4 linked regions of the Saccharomyces cerevisiae S288C genome follow. Changing the gene in region 4 together with the main gene of any one other region gives a genetic interaction. Each region holds a gene or a part of one and is shown on either strand. Other genes may lie near its edges.

The links.
Region 1: of END3 (region 4) and PRK1, a mutation in one rescues a mutant of the other (synthetic rescue), as found in Saccharomyces cerevisiae (2 studies listed by BioGRID).
Region 2: mutations in END3 (region 4) and SCD5 are lethal when combined (synthetic lethality), as found in Saccharomyces cerevisiae (2 studies listed by BioGRID).
Region 3: mutations in END3 (region 4) and ATX1 are lethal when combined (synthetic lethality), as found in Saccharomyces cerevisiae (one study listed by BioGRID).

The regions. Positions count from the first base shown.
Region 1 is NC_001141.2:181,839-187,381, reverse strand, and holds PRK1 (serine/threonine protein kinase PRK1), read right to left. Parts: upstream 3,446-5,543; coding exon 1,013-3,445; downstream 1-1,012. Other genes in the region: LYS12 (homoisocitrate dehydrogenase), read left to right, coding at 1-865; BMT5 (25S rRNA (uracil2634-N3)-methyltransferase), read left to right, coding at 4,255-5,265; glucose-induced degradation complex subunit FYV10, read right to left, coding at 5,405-5,543. UniProt on the Saccharomyces cerevisiae protein: Protein kinase involved in the regulation of actin cytoskeleton organization and endocytosis. Phosphorylates PAN1 which disrupts the interaction between PAN1 and END3, and between PAN1 and SLA1. Phosphorylates SCD5.
Region 2 is NC_001147.6:935,618-941,151, reverse strand, and holds SCD5 (Scd5p), read left to right. Parts: upstream 1-1,802; coding exon 1,803-4,421; downstream 4,422-5,534. Other genes in the region: DNA-directed DNA polymerase gamma MIP1, read left to right, coding at 1-1,531; ATP-binding cassette multidrug transporter PDR10, read right to left, coding at 4,655-5,534. UniProt on the Saccharomyces cerevisiae protein: Regulates both fluid phase and receptor-mediated endocytosis. Involved in vesicular transport at a late stage of the secretory pathway. Regulates actin cytoskeleton organization.
Region 3 is NC_001146.8:156,531-159,839, reverse strand, and holds ATX1 (copper metallochaperone ATX1), read left to right. Parts: upstream 1-1,974; coding exon 1,975-2,196; downstream 2,197-3,309. Other genes in the region: DSL1 (Dsl1p), read left to right, coding at 1-1,731; ribosome biosynthesis protein LTO1, read left to right, coding at 2,493-2,981; ORC5 (origin recognition complex subunit 5), read right to left, coding at 3,301-3,309. UniProt on the Saccharomyces cerevisiae protein: Copper homeostasis factor that specifically transports copper to the secretory pathway for incorporation into copper enzymes destined for the cell surface or extracellular milieu.
Region 4 is NC_001146.8:469,292-472,957, reverse strand, and holds END3 (End3p), read left to right. Parts: upstream 1-1,855; coding exon 1,856-2,905; downstream 2,906-3,666. Other genes in the region: Ca(2+)-binding ATP:ADP antiporter SAL1, read right to left, coding at 97-1,581; MKT1 (Mkt1p), read right to left, coding at 3,335-3,666. UniProt on the Saccharomyces cerevisiae protein: Component of the PAN1 actin cytoskeleton-regulatory complex required for the internalization of endosomes during actin-coupled endocytosis. The complex links the site of endocytosis to the cell membrane-associated actin cytoskeleton.

The sequences.
Region 1 (5,543 bases), on a different chromosome or scaffold from region 4:
GAAGGAACAATGTCAAGGTGCTCTTTTCGGTGCAGTTCAGTCTCCAACTACTAAGGTGGAAGGTTACTCCTCACCAATTGTTGCTCTAAGGAGGGAAATGGGCCTTTTCGCTAATGTTCGTCCTGTTAAGTCTGTAGAGGGAGAAAAGGGTAAACCAATTGACATGGTTATCGTCAGAGAAAATACTGAGGACCTGTACATTAAAATTGAAAAAACATACATTGACAAGGCCACAGGTACAAGAGTTGCTGATGCCACAAAGAGAATATCCGAAATTGCAACAAGAAGAATTGCAACCATTGCATTAGATATTGCCTTGAAAAGATTACAAACAAGAGGCCAAGCCACTTTGACAGTGACTCATAAATCAAATGTTCTATCTCAAAGTGATGGTCTATTCAGAGAAATCTGTAAGGAAGTCTACGAATCTAACAAGGACAAGTACGGTCAAATCAAATATAACGAACAAATTGTGGATTCCATGGTTTATAGGCTGTTCAGAGAACCACAATGTTTTGATGTGATAGTGGCACCAAACCTATACGGGGATATATTATCTGACGGTGCTGCTGCTTTAGTCGGTTCATTAGGTGTTGTTCCAAGCGCCAACGTAGGTCCAGAAATTGTCATTGGTGAACCATGCCATGGTTCTGCACCAGATATTGCTGGTAAAGGTATTGCTAACCCAATCGCCACTATAAGATCTACTGCTTTGATGTTGGAATTCTTGGGCCACAACGAAGCTGCCCAAGATATCTACAAGGCTGTTGATGCTAACTTAAGAGAGGGTTCTATCAAGACACCAGATTTAGGTGGTAAGGCTTCTACTCAACAAGTCGTTGACGACGTTTTGTCGAGATTATAGAGCATATAATAGGAAAATAGAAACGAATAAATAAATGAATGAGTGACAAGATATATTTCAAAAAATTTCAAATGATTGACGAAAGAAAATTTGTACATTTTGTATGACTTTTAATATTACATAGTCTATTATGTGTGAGAGCAAGTTTTAAACTTTGCTGGGAAACCTTTTTCTAAAATCGGCTTCTAAATCATCTACGTTAACATCAACAATAGTTTCTGTGGCTTCGCTGGAAATTCTTTCAATCGGCAGTTTCTTTGATTGTAAACGACTAAAGTTTCTTATCTTCTGAATTTCTGTCCTTAAATGTAGTGGTTTTGGTGGTGGACGTGGTGGTCTTGATTTATCTTTACCGTTGCTTTTCGTTTTGATGTCCAAAACACCATCCTTAAGGGTTTTCTTAAACTTTTCTTCTGTGATTGGTGTTATTCTTACACTTGAATGTCGATTGGAAGTTTCTGTACCAATATCTGTATATTTACCATACCCGGATGCGGATTTATACGTTACCGGATCATCAGAACTCTTTAGTAAGTTATGCACTCTTCTTTGAATTGATTCCTTCTTTTCTTGATTTATATTAACGTTGCCATTATCTGGTATCAAAGTAGGCTTTGATGTCGTTTTAGCTGATGCTTGAGTTTTCTTCACTGGAGAATGAGACCTGTAATAGTCCCTTGATCCAGTTCTCGAGTTATTCCTCTCATGCTGGTCAAAATCTGATAAAATTGAAGGAGGCATACTGCGACGTTTTTCCAGTCTCTGATTCTTGTCTGATTCCTCTTTTCTTTTGGTATCAGAATTAAATTTAGGAAAGGAGGAGGTTGAAGACGAAACTAATCGCCTGTTTGTATTGTTACCATTGCCGTTGACATTGTTATTATCAAAGGAAGCAGACCTGCTATTGTTCACTGAGTTTCCTGTAAACCCATGACGAAGCTTACCAAATGCTGATCTGATACTATCACCAGTATTTTGCCTTGATTTAATCGGAGAATTGCCGCGAGATTCACCAGTAATAACCTTTTTTAACTTAGAGCTTAGTGAACGCACAATCTTGCTTCCATTTATATTATCTGGAGCAGCAATTTCTTTTGTGGAGCTTAGTGATTTGCTTGTAATGGTGGGAGATAGTTTTAAGTTTGGCACAGCCATGTTATCTATAGTTTGCGTCTCAGAATCAACGTAGTTATTTGGACGATTTATTGCCGAAACTCTATCAAAAATGTCATTATTAACAGGAGTAAGCGATAATGGAGGCATAGACTTCCTTTGTGGGGATTGGAAACTTTCTACTGATTTGAAAGTCTGAGACTTTTGAAAAGGGTGTAGCTCTTTATAATATAGTGATGCAAATTCATCAGAAAGTGGAACGGATTTTGTTTTCATTAAGGGACTAGTCAAATTTGAATGGCTTCCAACCTGTAAGCCAGCATGCGCCGTTACTTCTGTCTTGTTATTATCATTAATAGATATAGGGAAAGTACCCAAATTAGGAGTAGTACTGACGTGAGTTACAGGCATCATATTTGGTGGCTGGTTGATGCTCTGAAGGCTTTGTACGGGAATAAATTTCTGTGTTGGAACATAAGTTGTCGAAGACGGTTCACCGGCCAATTGGGTATTCGCATTCTGATTCATTGCTCTTAACAAGTAAAAATTTCTAATCGGGCAAGGCTTATTCTGTAACCTGGAAACCTCCTCTAAAACTTGACAAATATTTGGCCTCTGAGATGGTGCTTCCATTAACATAAGACGTATCAAATTTTTCAACCTGTCACTATACTGCGGAAAGGATGGATATTGATACCTTGCATGTAGTATACCGGCTTCACCACTTTTTTCAAACGGCGTAGTATAGTAACATATTTTGTAAAGAAAGACACCAAGAGCCCAAATATCAGATTTTTCGTCGATAGGTAACCCTCTGTACAGGTCAATCATTTCAGGTGATCTATACTGAGCTGTAGTATTTGTTAGGATGTCGTGTTGAACATAATTAAACTCTTGAGTATTTCTAGGTGGCCTTATCACACCGGAAACGGAACCAAAATCACAAACTTTATACAAGCCATCATGAGAAATAAGTACATTCTCAATCTTAATATCTCTATGAATCAATGGCGGCTGCAGAGCGTGCATTGCAGTTATACCTTGGACGGTTTGACTCATAATTTCTAATATTTCAGATTCTTGTAATCTATTTTGTAATCTGGTGTTCATAAAATCTATAAGACCTCCACGTTCACAAAATTCCATTAACACAAACACCTCATATGCTATACCATTTACAGACCTTGCAGCATGTGAATCTATGTAAGAAACAACATGCTTATTATTTCTAAGGAGTTTCATAGCATCCACTTCAGCTCTCAAGGTATTTAAACCCTGTTTATGGGGGACAATGACTCTTTTCAAGCATGCTATGTTAGCATTGCTATATGGGTCAGGAGGGGAAATTTCGGCAGTATATACTTGTGCGAATCCACCACTCGTAAGGTATTTGATAATCTTAGCATGATGAGATCCCACAGTTAATATTGTCCCGGGTTCATACAGACTAATCTGTGGAGTATTCATTGTTTTTGGATCAGTTCAACTAAAGATAGGAGGTTACAAATAATCTTGATCAACACTTCAATCAAAAAAGATTTTTTTCGCTGAAGATAATAAACTATCCCACAATGGAAATTCAACCTGTATTAGCGAACTAACTTATGTTCAAGTGGAGCCTGTGACCTGCCTGCTTGGTGACTTTTTTAGCGTTTCCTAAATGTACTGTTCTATATTTTTCTTTTTCCAAGACCTTCGCTCTGCATACGCCTGCCTGGTTATAATTACAGTTTTTTTTAAAAACCTTTACTAAGAATAAATAGTAACAGCTAGTGCAAACTAACGACATTGACATTTACTTGATATAAAATAATTGAGAGCGATCATATATATCGGAAATCTCTATCAGTACTAATATTAAATTTACATGAAATACTTCAACAAATTCCTGGTCTCTTGGCCCAGTTGGTTAAGGCACCGTGCTAATAACGCGGGGATCAGCGGTTCGATCCCGCTAGAGACCACTTATTTTTATGACTTCTTGGAAGTCAATTTTTTTTTCCTTCTGAATCAGTAATAACAAAAGTCGTAGTTGATCTTGTTATTGGATCATGTACATCAGTATTATTAATGATTTTAGTATTTCAAGCTGGCTCCCATATTTTTCTCCTGTAGAAAGAATGTAAATTATTCGGAAAAAAAAAAAAAAAAAGAAAAGAATTGGCGATGCGATGAGCTTAAAAGAAAACCTTCCATTACTTAAATTCATTGGAGCCTGACAACGTTTAGTAACGTTAAAATCATAGATTAACACCAATCATAACCTAAAATTATCAATGGCCAGGAAATTGAAGGGTAAGATTGGGAGTAAAGGCCTAAAAGGTGCATTATTAAGGCACAAGGCCAAAGTGAAATTAGTGAGGAATATTGAAAGTAAGCAAAAACATGAACTAAGAAAGAAAAATTCGAGCGCTAATAACAAAACCGTGAAGAGAAACCAAGAATTCCAAAAACTTAATCAAGGGAAGGTTATGCCCTTTGAGAAGGATGAAACTTTGATGCTATGTGGTGAAGGAGATTTTTCTTTTGCCAGATCCATTGTTGAACAAAACTATATTGAAAGTGACAATTTAATCATAACAAGTTACGATAATTCTGTGAATGAGCTGAAATTGAAATATCCGCATACTTTTGAGGAAAATTACCAGTACTTAAAAGATCTAAATATTCCGATATTTTTCCAGATTGACGTTACGAAGCTCGTAAAGAGCTTTAAAATTTCCAAAAATAATACTTGGTTTAAAATAATCAACAGGCTTAGCGATCATCGTTGGGGTAACAAACCTTTACAAAATATAGTTTTCAATTTTCCCCATAATGGAAAAGGTATTAAGGATCAAGAAAGAAATATTAGAGAGCATCAGGACTTAATTTTTAACTTTTTCCAAAATTCCTTACAATTATTTAATCTTATAAACACGAAAATTCAAAATGATACTCTTCGTTATACGCAAGGCTATGATCTTAATGAGGATACTCCCCAGGCTAAAAAATTGACCGCCGAAGGTTATGGTAACATCATACTGTCCCTTTTCGATGGAGAGCCCTATGATTCATGGCAAATCAAACTTTTAGCCAAAAAAAATGGACTAACTCTGAGCAGATCGAGCAAATTCCAATGGGAAAATTTTCCAGGATATCATCACCGGAGAACGAATAGCGAACAAGATACTACAAAACCTGCGAAAGAACGTGATGCTAGGTTCTACATCTTTAGTAAATATGTCTCGAATAGTTCAAAACATAACCGTAAAAGCAAAAAAGACACAGATTCTGATTCAGACTAAGTACAGAAGGAAGAATGTCGCCATGTTGATGAAAGAACTTTCATTTTCCCTAATTCTTATATAGCGTAAGTATCTGTAAAATAGTTGTGAAAGTTGGACAAATCTTTATATAAAAAAATGCATATAGCTTGAAACTATTTCAGGTTGGGTACATTTTGATAGAATCTGATTCGCAAAATATTTTCATGTCAACTGGATCCATAATTTGACCTGGATTTAAAGAAATTAAGTTTTGCTTTTTCAATGTTTTGGCCAATTTCTTCAATTTTTTACTGTCG
Region 2 (5,534 bases), on a different chromosome or scaffold from region 4:
TAATGAGGCGAAAATTTTTAATTATGGTAGAATTTACGGCGCTGGTGCTAAATTTGCGAGTCAGTTACTTAAAAGGTTTAACCCATCTCTAACTGATGAAGAGACAAAAAAAATTGCGAATAAGTTATATGAAAATACGAAAGGTAAAACGAAAAGATCAAAATTATTCAAAAAATTTTGGTATGGTGGATCTGAGTCAATTCTATTCAATAAATTAGAAAGCATCGCGGAACAAGAAACTCCAAAGACACCGGTACTGGGATGTGGTATTACCTATTCACTTATGAAGAAAAATCTGAGGGCGAATTCCTTTCTACCTTCAAGAATCAATTGGGCCATCCAGTCATCTGGAGTGGATTATCTACATCTTCTTTGTTGCTCCATGGAATATATTATTAAGAAATATAACCTTGAGGCAAGGCTTTGCATTTCCATCCATGATGAGATTAGATTTTTGGTGAGCGAAAAGGACAAATACAGAGCTGCTATGGCTTTGCAAATCAGCAACATATGGACGAGAGCAATGTTTTGCCAGCAAATGGGGATAAATGAATTACCGCAAAACTGTGCCTTTTTCTCGCAAGTAGATATTGATTCTGTCATACGTAAAGAAGTCAATATGGACTGCATAACCCCCTCGAACAAAACCGCCATTCCTCATGGGGAGGCGCTTGATATCAATCAACTGCTAGACAAATCCAATAGTAAATTGGGTAAACCAAATCTCGATATCGACAGCAAAGTATCACAATATGCCTATAACTACAGAGAACCTGTATTTGAAGAATATAATAAATCTTATACTCCAGAGTTCTTAAAATATTTTCTTGCGATGCAAGTCCAGTCAGATAAGCGCGATGTGAATCGGCTAGAAGATGAGTATCTGCGGGAGTGTACATCCAAAGAATACGCTAGAGATGGGAACACTGCAGAGTACAGCCTCCTAGACTATATAAAGGATGTCGAGAAGGGCAAAAGGACTAAAGTACGTATTATGGGATCCAATTTTTTAGATGGTACCAAAAATGCCAAAGCTGATCAACGAATCAGATTACCTGTCAATATGCCAGATTATCCCACACTTCATAAAATTGCTAACGATTCAGCAATCCCAGAAAAGCAATTGCTGGAGAACAGGAGAAAGAAGGAAAACAGGATAGATGACGAAAATAAGAAAAAATTAACCAGAAAAAAGAATACCACGCCTATGGAAAGGAAGTACAAAAGAGTGTATGGTGGCAGGAAGGCATTTGAAGCGTTCTATGAATGTGCAAATAAACCGTTAGACTATACTTTGGAGACAGAAAAACAATTCTTTAATATTCCTATAGATGGAGTGATTGACGACGTTCTGAACGACAAATCTAATTATAAAAAGAAACCATCACAAGCAAGAACGGCATCATCATCGCCAATAAGAAAGACTGCGAAAGCAGTACATTCCAAAAAATTGCCGGCAAGGAAGTCAAGCACTACAAATAGAAATTTGGTTGAGCTGGAAAGGGACATTACTATTTCTAGAGAGTACTAGGCAAAATCTGCATTAGCTTTCGCATTTGTATTTATATATACAGCACATTATAATATTATTTTTTTATTTATTTCTACTTACTTTTTTTCGCCAAATGAGAAAACAAAAGTAAGTTGCCCCTATTAGAAAAAGAGTTAACATTAGGAAACGGGGACAAAACAAAAGGTAGAATTCAAAATAGGAATTCAAAACCCAAATTATCTGCATCTTCTCGTTAGCTAAGATTTTATAGATCATTGCAGGCTCGATAAATTTTACATGGTAACGAAACATGTCGTTTGATTGGCTTAATGTTCCGGGATTGGACTTAAGCAGCGGGGACCAAGCAGAAAAGAGGCCATCGAATGGATTAGGACCACCCAGTGTGTCTTTTGATTTTGGTATAAATACTGCTGCTCCACATGATTCCAGCTTTTGGGATCAGGGATCAAGAAGTCACAGTGATACAACTTTGTCTTACAGAAATAATCACTCAAATACAGCAGCTGATAATGCCACTAACGTGAGCTCTCCTCAAAAGGATAATCCACCTAATGGGGAGGTACGAACACTTTCTGGAGGCGATGTGTACGCGGAGTCACCAGAAGACATGCAAGTCCCATTGTCTTTATCACAAAACCAACTTACCCATGAAGAAATAAGGACATATCTAAGATGGTACCACTATATATGTTTGAGAACCCATGGAAAACTAGTAAGATTGAACGACGTGTTTAGGTTCTTGACCAATTTTAATTTATCACAAAAAGTAAAAGATAGAATTGTGGAAATTTTCCGTAGCTGTAAAAATGCGTTAAATATTGGTCAATTTTTCGCTGTTTTAAGATTAGTTTCTAGAGCTATTATATATGGCATCTTACCTCTAAGACGCATGATCTTGGAAAAGGCACCTGTTCCCAAACCACGTCCTATCCTAAGTAGTGAGAATCACGAAGAGGTGTACGAGGAGGTGGAAGACGATGATAGTTCTGCCAAAACTGGTGATCAAAAGGTCGATTTTGACTCATTTGCTTCATTGCTGTTGACTGGTAAGACAACGAGAAAAAGAGTCAGGAGAAGAATCAAAAATTTGAATTTTAAGAGTAAGAAGGTTAGGTTTTCAGAGCATATAACATTTCAAGACCCTCCAAACCTCAATCAAGAATCATCTAATAATAGTGAAGCAAGAAAGCAAGATCCTGATGCAGAAGATGAAGATCAGGATTCTAATAATGACAGTCCTTTGGATTTCACATTGCCCATGGATCAATTATTAAAGAGGCTATATAAGCGGAGAAAAAACAGCGGATTAGTTTCGAGTTTGCCCAGCGAACAACAAGAAACTGAGGAGGAGAAGAAAGTTTTGGAGGATATGAAGGATTCCTTGTCCCATTTCAAACAAATACAGACTGTTGATTCTGCCTCATTGCCAATTTCATCGGTATTTTTACAGAATGGCAATACTCTACCAACTAGCAATGTGAATAACACCACTGTTCCACAGCAACTTCCGTTAGAACCTTTGAAGCCAACCGCCACAGGTTCAGCTAATCACCTGGTGCGAGAAGAATATAATCAGGGGTTGCATCCAAGCAACGGTGCCATCCAAACAGGTTTACAACCTTTAAAACCAACAGCAACGGGCTCTGCAAATTATTTGATGCGAAGTCATATGGAACAACCTCAGTCTATCAAACCTTCGAGTACACCAGAAACAGTTACAAACTCTGGGGGACTTCAACCTTTGAAACCTACCGCCACAGGTTCTGCAAATTACTTGATGAAACAGCATATCTCACCTTCAGTTAATAACCCAGTATCTTCGATGTTTCAGGCGCAATTTACGAACCAATCTTCATCTCCACAAAGTACAGGACCAGCATTTCTGAATTCTCCGAACATTACTCTTCCTCAAAGCAATCAACAGCAACCTTACCAAGAGGTTAATCCGACTCAAGCGAAAATTGAACCATCTAACATATCGCCTCAACACACCTACTCTAACAATGTTCGGATTAATAATGGTAACATCGTATCCATGCCGAAAGTAGAAATAACTGGTGCATTCCCCCCTCAAAACACTCTTCCTCAACATCAGCAATCGCATTTGCTTTCTCCTCAAAATACGATCCCGCAGCACCAACGGTCGCAATTGATATCTCCACAAAATACCTTCACTCAAAATCAGCCCATTCTTTCTCCGCAACATACTTATTCCAATAATCAAGCAACAATGATATCCCCCCAGAATACGTATACTAATAATCAACAGCAGCCCCAACATCTTCCACCTCCTCCACCTCCACGCGCTCAGCAGCAGCAACAAGGGGCCATTGTGCCACCTCAACATATGTACTCTAACGTGCAAAAGCAGAATAATTTGGTGCCGACCCAACCCTCCTATACAAATTCACCAAGCATACAATCTCCAAATTTTTTGTCACCTCAGAATGCTGCTAATAGTTACTTTCAATCTTTACTTTCTTCTTCACCATCTCCAAATCCTACGCCATCAAATGCGTCTACTGTTAATGGCAATAACGCCAGTAATGGCATAAGTTCATTCCAAAATACTAGTGCGGCAATGAACAATACTCAATCTCATCAGACGTATATTCAGCAGCAACAACAACAACAAACTCAACAACGAATATATGGTGGCCAACTTTCTCAAATGCAACAACATCCGGGGCAACTTCACTTAAACAACAGTGATATACATAGCCAACCTAACAAGCCTAATTACGGAATGCTAGGGCAGCAAGTTCATCAACAGCAACAGCAACAGCAGCAGCAATTTCCATTCACTGCAGATGTTAATAGATCCAATTCAAGCGATATTTTGGGTAACTTGCAGTCATTGCAGCAGCAAGTCGATGCTTTACAAATCCAATATAATAGGAGACCATAGTATCGTAAGCTAAACGAGGTGTATAGTTTTGAAAGATAATATATGTAGGTATATGTGTACATAAAGTCACAAAAGTGATGTAATTTATGAACACCTGTTTACTAGCATTATTTATTGTCTTGATTATTGAGCTAGTCTTTTAGTTTCACCAAACATTTAGCAACATGGCGTAAACCTCTGAACAATAGTTAACTAATTTTGCATATACAATGAATGTAGCCAGTAATATTTAATTATTTCTTTAATTTTTTGCTTTTCTTTGGAACCCGCACCAGCCAGTATAAAAATATTGCTGCACAATAGTCAAAGACAATATATGCACTAAAAATGCCATAGTTCATCCATCTACGTGAATACGAAGAACTCACAGTCGCCAGATAATCATTGGTAGAACTGAATTGACAAAAGTGACATTCAGTTTCGGAACTCCCATCGAGCAGATAACCCGTCCCGGTGGATTGCATATAAGGTTCCATATATTCCGAGCATGTCATACCGCTTGGAGGAACAATTTTTAAAAGTTCGTTGCTGGAACAAACGACACTAGCATTGGCCAGTCCTACCGATAGCAGAGCATCAATGAGGTATGTCAGTGGCGATACTCTATACATAAAAATCCAGAATCTTGGTAGAATATTTGGCGTAGCCAGAACACCGCAGAAAGATAATGACATTATAAAGAAAAGTGAAGCGAGATTCGCAGCATTTTCTGCAATTTCAATGCATGAAATCACTAATACCCCCATTGAACTGATGTAGACGTAAAACGCGCACGCAAATAACCAAAATAAAGCTCCTCGTTCATGAAGTTGATTTGCATAAGAAGCATTTCTGTAAAATCCAACAGGATAATAATAGACGAAAAAAGCTATAGTACCGGCCAGTAAATTCCAAGGGATTTCCACGAGAATCTGCGATACAATAAATGCTTTCCACGAAAAGGTTCTTGATGGCCTTTCTCTAGCTTCATAAAGTTCCCTCTGCTGAACGAAAAGTGGTAAATATTGTTGCAATATTGGGTTGAATACCACTGTAAACATAAAAATGGCCAGCATTTGATTCTGTAGGCCCTGTAATGATGTATTCGCCTTGAAAAAAGTGAAGCCTATGAAG
Region 3 (3,309 bases), 310 kb from region 4:
TTCATTTTAGATATGACCAGTGCCGACTCTCAAGAGCAGGTAAGAGCAAAATTGAATACAATCATGAAGGAGTATATGAACCTTTCCAGGATTGTAAGCATGATCAAAAATTCTATTTTTATATCTGGTAAAGAAATCTCATATGAAAACGAAAAAAACATACTTGTCTTTTCTAAATCCTCTTCGCATGGCCAACATTGTGTGTCTACTGTATTAACAAGTTTTGAAGCAGTATGCGATTTCATGTTAGACGGATTAGCCTTTAGAGACAGAAAGACCTTAAGTTATGAGCTAGGTCCCTTGTTCAATACGGAGTTTACCAAATTTGTGAAAAATAATGCATCGATAATTTTAGAATCACTTGATTCACCGCTAAAAAATCTAGTTTCTGTCATAAATAACAAACTAACTAGACTAGTTGCCAAATCAGAAGTTACCAATTGGACACATTCCGGTAAAGAGATTCAGGATTTGTTAATGAACAAACAATTATACTACAATTTATTACTAGATAAAGTTCTTGAATCGCATATTAGTGAGATAAGAAGTATATTTGAAGATCCAAAAAAGAGCTGGCAAAATTTGGAAGTAGTTGAGCTCACTACTAGCAATACTAATACGATGAGCGAAAAAATTGGAAAAAATGATTCAGATGTACAGAACGAAAAAGAACTCCATAATGCCGTATCCAAAGATGATGATTGGAATTGGGAAGTAGAGGATGATGATGCCGATGCATGGGGTGATGAAATTGATGTAAATATTGACGACGAGGAAGAAAAAACAAATCAAGAGAAGGAAAAAGAACCAGAAGAAGAAGAAAATGCCTGGGATGAAGCCTGGGCAATTGACGAAAATATAGATGATGCTTCCCTAGAAAATGGAAAGGAACATTTAAAAGCTCATGATGTAGGATCACTTGATAAAGACCACATTGAAGTTACACAGTTACCAAAATTGTTCTTGGCAATTTCACAGAATTTCAAGAGTAGCTTTGCAGATAGCCATGTTGATGAGCAATACTTTGCGTACAAATACAACCTTTTGCAGACATCGTATATGGCCATGTGCACAGCTAATTTTTCTCACAATTGGTGCCAATTATATGTGGATATGAGATATCTAATAGAACGAGATGAAAAGCTGTATAGAATAAAAGAATTAACAAGGAACCTGCTGGAAACTAAACTGAACATGAAATATCGTATTGTCTGTCAACTAATCAGGCATCAATTGACCGAATTTCGTGAGAACGAGAGAAATCCATCGTGGGACGCCACCATTGAGAAACTGCTACCTTATATCTTGAAGGAAATTGTTCGTCCACTGCAGAAAATAAGAGGTGAAGAAGGTTCCCGTTACTTGTTGTCTTTCTTAAACTTTTTATATAACGATTGCGTGACAAAGGAAATATTAAAATGGCAGATTATCTCTGAGGTCAATTCCGAAAATTTGGGTGAGCTCGTATCTTTATTAGTGAACAACACCGATATACAATTATTAGCGAAGGAACCAAGTTACAAAAAGATGAGAGAAAAATTCGCCACTATGGGCAAGTTTCTACCATTACATTTAAAGGAGATTATGGAGATGTTTTACAATGGGGATTTTTATCTTTTTGCGACAGACGAACTAATCCAATGGATAGAGTTATTGTTTGCCGACACTCCCCTGCGAAGGAATGCCATTGATGATATTTACGAAATTAGAGGCACTGCTCTAGATGATTAAAAAATAATTAATCGTAGGATAGGTTACATGATCATTGCAATAGATGTACATCTTGTATTACGTATGCGTAAGTTGTCTTTTTTTCAGTTTTCTAATAAATTTCACGTGATGCGGTAGTTTTTTTTGGGGGTGCAAAGTTGGCACATCTTGTAGTGCATTTTTGAGCTTCTTAAATGACTTGAATCATCTTAAAACATTGCAGGATGAGATTTCCAACGACACAAGAGAGAACTAGCGCAAAAGATGGCAGAGATAAAACATTATCAATTCAATGTCGTCATGACCTGCTCGGGATGTTCTGGTGCAGTCAATAAAGTTTTGACGAAATTAGAACCAGACGTTTCCAAAATAGATATATCCCTTGAAAAGCAATTAGTAGATGTATATACTACACTTCCTTACGATTTTATTTTAGAAAAGATTAAGAAAACCGGAAAGGAAGTTAGATCTGGCAAACAATTGTGAATGAAAGTGAAGAGAAATAGTTTTTTACTCTATTTTGTATTGTAGCTACTTAAGTAAATGATTAATATTCTCAATAGGATGCTTACGAAGAAAAAAGTCTTTTTTTATTGTTTTATTGTTTTATTCTTTGTTGGCTATGTAGCCATTTGCCTTTTCAGTATAATCTTACTAATATAAAAATCTCAATCATGGTGAGAAATCGTTTTATAAGAAAAATGAAAAAAAACTTGTTTAAATCAAATCACTTATCATATTTGAAGAGTAAATGGAAAGTAAAGATCACTGGACAAATAAAAATGGATTTTGATAATTTACTAAACCTAGAAGAACAGTATTACCAAGAAGGTTTTCTGGAGGGCCAGAATGAGAATATAAAGCAGAGCTTTCTAGAAGGTAAACAGTATGGTTTACAAGTGGGATTCCAAAGATTTACGCTCCTGGGACAAATGGAAGGTTTGTGTGATGTTATAGAATCGTATGGATTGCATAGTCCAACACTAGAAAAGAATATACATACCATTCGTACTTTAATGAAAGGTTTGAAAATGAATAACGATGATGAAAGTGTGATGGAATTTGAGAGGGTGTTAATAAAATTGAAAAATAAGTTTAGAACCATTCTAATAACTCTTCATCGATTAGTTAAAGATAAAAGAACCCCCACCGTGACATTTGAAGTCTTTGAAGACGTTTCAAGGGCCATTGCCGGAGAAATTAGAGGTTTTGTAGAAAATGAAGACATCGCAAAGAATAAGACAAAACAAAATCAGGCTCAATCCTGGTAAGAATACCAAGTGAAGAACATTATCGCCGGCCGCCAAAAAGAGCAACTAAACTAACAATTTTGCGCCGTTCAGTCTCCTCATTCATTGTTTTTCCATACAGTAGGGCGCTTTTAATAGTTTCTAGTGGACTGAATTAATAACGGTTATACGTATTAATCTTTGATTACCATATCCAAGAAACAGAGCGTAGAGCGTGGGAACAAAAAATACAAGGTTTACTTGATAATTGTTCATTCTATCCCACTATGTATAAATATTTATATAACGTAGTTGTTGTTTCGAACGTATCCTGCCCTCTGGATACCTTCCAGGGAGATAATCATTCGTG
Region 4 (3,666 bases):
GCTGGACATACTTTTGCTAAAGTTGGTACTAGACCTTTAAATAGACCTTGATAACCTTCCCTTTCTAGCGTCTTTAACAAAACATCTTTAAAGCCGTTATACACATAAGGATGTGCATATGTTCCTTGGGCTTGTAGTCTTGTTCTTAAAAGATTGATTGGATAAACAACAGAAGCTCCTACAGTTCCACTGAATGCACCCATTGGAAGTACAACCAGGTTGCTTAGAGTGACCTGATCTTGTGGTAGGTTCAGGGTCTTTGCCTGTTTGGCAATATACCATTTTTTTAAGGCAGAAAAAGTCCCCAAATCTAATGCAGCATAGGGAAATATGCCCACTATACCGACTGTGACACCTCTGTAAAATAATCTGACCCCCCCCCTCTCGAAACATATCTTTTGCAGTCTGAAAGAGCAAATTATTCCCCTTCAACTTTGTGTCCAAAGGAGCGCACTGCACCCTGAATTTCAAAGTATCTATAGGATAAACGGAAAACTGAGCTGCCATACCAGCTAAACCACCAGCAATGTAAGTAGAGAACTTTGAAAGATCTTTTGTGTCGCGGCAGCCTTCTAATTTGGTCATTATTTTCTTGGTGACCTCGAAAGAACCAAACTTTATCGAACTTTCTGGAAAAACTTTGATGACGTTTAAACCGTTCCCAACATAAAAAGCCTTTATCCCGCCTTGCCTATATAAGCTTTTGACAGCCTTTGCTAATGGAGATGATATCTTGTTTATGTCAGCATTGGGGTTTTTAGCAAGGAGATCTGTTTTTGAATTTAACAAGATCGAGGATAGATCCGTTCTTGCGATGAGAAACACTTTCAGTCTATCAAATGGCGCGGTACAAGTCCTTGAAATAACACCTGAAATACCACCAGCAATAAAAAACCCGAACCCGCGAATGAAATCGTTTATGAGAGTAACATCTCCCTCTGAGGACAGATCGACATCTTCGTTGAATAGGTAAAAATAGGAATAAGCAGTATGAAGTCTCGAACCCTGCTTTCTCGGTACCAGCAGCAAAAAGTCTCTCCATTGATCATATGTAACGTATAAATCTGAGTCGGTGGTTTTCTTTGACCGATCATTATCAGTATTCTTTTTGTGGCTAGCCTGGCCTCGTAGCGCAATGTTGGCTTTTCTCTTTGGAAACGCCCATTCAAAAAACCTCGAGAATTTGTTCATCTTTTCATTTGAAAGTTCATGATTAAGTTCATTATTACATATGCTCTGGTTGTCGAGGTCTGACAAATACCTATTTATTTCGTTAATGCCAATCTTACCGTCATGATCTAAATCTATCCTCTGGAAGCCGTTCCAAATTTGAGATTCGGCATTGGAAGCATACTTCTTGAAATCGCTTAAATCAACTACAGAGTCCTTGTTAACATCCATTGCAGTAAACAGCATTTTGATTGCCTCATCATTTCCCTTGAGCGGATGGTCGTTCTTCTCAAAAGCACTTATCAGATTATCTAGAGTAACTTGACCATTTCCCTTAACATCAAGTTCCTTGAACAAACACGCATACCGTATATCTCGCTGCTTGTCCGTCTCGCAATTTTTCAGCAGCATTTAGACCGTCATTCGATTGAATTAAACGTTATTTGCCCCTTCAAATATTCAATATTTCCCATCGCTAATAAAAAAGCTGCATTTTTATTTATTACTTTTTAAATATCATATTTGACGATCGTGTAGGACCCCTATGATTTAACATATCAAGAATGAATGAAAAGAACGTCAGAAACACAAGGTTAATTGCCTGTTATAATCAGACGATTGTAATATAACCATAGAGTTAGTGGGTATTGGAAAGGCCGGTAAAGATAACAGGGATCTCTGAAAAATGCCCAAGTTGGAACAATTTGAAATAAAAAAATACTGGCAAATCTTCTCGGGTTTGAAACCAATAGAGAATAAGGTAAACCATGACCAGGTTTTACCAATTCTTTATAATTCCAAATTAGATTCATCGGTTCTAAACAAGATTTGGTTTTTAGCTGATATTGATGACGACGACAATTTAGACTTTGAGGAATTTGTAATTTGCATGAGATTAATATTTGATATGGTTAATAAAAACATTAGCTCTGTTCCAGATGAATTGCCTGATTGGTTGATTCCAGGGAGTAAGGTGAATCTAATCAAAGAAAGAAAGAAGCGCAAGCAAATAGAAAACGCAGACTTGCCTCCAAAGAAGGAAATCAAAGTAGATTGGTACATGTCTCCAGATGATTTGAATCAATATGAAAAAATTTATAATAGCTGTGCAAAACTAACCGATGGTACTATTACATTCAACGAACTGTCAACAAAACTTTCCACAAAATTTTTTAACATCAGTAAGACAGATTTAAATAAGGTTTGGAGTTTAATTAACCCACAAAATTTGCCATCAATTGATAGAGATCCTACTTTTTATTTTATTCACTGTTTAAGACAAAGAAATGATTTGGGTGCTGAAATTCCAGCAAGTTTACCAAATTCTCTGGCGGAGGTGTGCAATAAAAAACAACTGAGCTATGATTTACGGTCCTCTCAACCTCCTACAAAGAGAAAAGAAGAAGCTAACGAAGTGGACAATCTGCGTGACAATGGGCAGAACTCGAGTTCCGATAGCAGTGGCAGTAACGTGCTTTCAAATGAAGACAGTATAAAGCAAAAATATGCTTCTCTGACAGATGATCAAGTTGCGAACATGAGAGAACAATTAGAAGGCCTTTTGAACTACAAAAAGAGTGAAAAAACTCAAGGAGGCTCAAAACTTTCTAAGCGGATTAACATCAGGTCGATAACTGATGACTTGGATAACATTGAACAGCAGGTTGAAGTATTGGAGAATTACTTGAACAATAAGAGACACGAATTGCAAGCATTACAAGCAGAAATCAATTGACACCGATAATTAATTTTATGTACATGAATGTGTAATATTTACTGTTTGTTATTTCACTTGTAAACTTTTTTGATTTGAACTTCAATCTATCCAGTAACGGTGTGGTGTATACTTATTTTTTCCTTTTCTTCTCTGCCGGAATTTCATAAAATTTTTACTGTTCAGCGTTCTTTACATATTTATATAATAGAATATGTCATATAAAGAAACAGTGACTTAGTTTCTGTTTTACTTTTTTTCTCCTATTTCTACCGTGATTTTGATTAGTTTTTTCTTTAATTGTTGCTATTCACTGTGCTTGTGTTAAATCTTGATGATGGTACTTGAACCCTCTGAATAATGATAATATACCTCTTTACAGTAACTATCTTTCTTTATTGGGTGCTTTTTAAATAGTTCCACTATTTCCATCATACTCATTCTCACGCTTCAGCTAGATAGAGCTGTTGTAGTAAACTCAACTGCTTTAGTGAATAATTTAAACACGTTTTCATCGATTAATTTCGCAGCATTTAGCTCCTGCATGACTTTTGAAATTTCAAGAAGAAATCTATGGGATTCGACAAACTGTTCATCAAGATTTGGTGTGGATTTGTAAGTGTTGAATTCAGTAGCAACTAAAGACAATGCATCATTCTTGGCATTACCATTGTGAAGATATTTTTGTAAGAAAAACTCCCACATCATAGCCATTATAGTATTTGGGGAATCTAATTTGAACGGTAAATATCTAACAATCTTTCTTGCCCAACCAAAGTTAT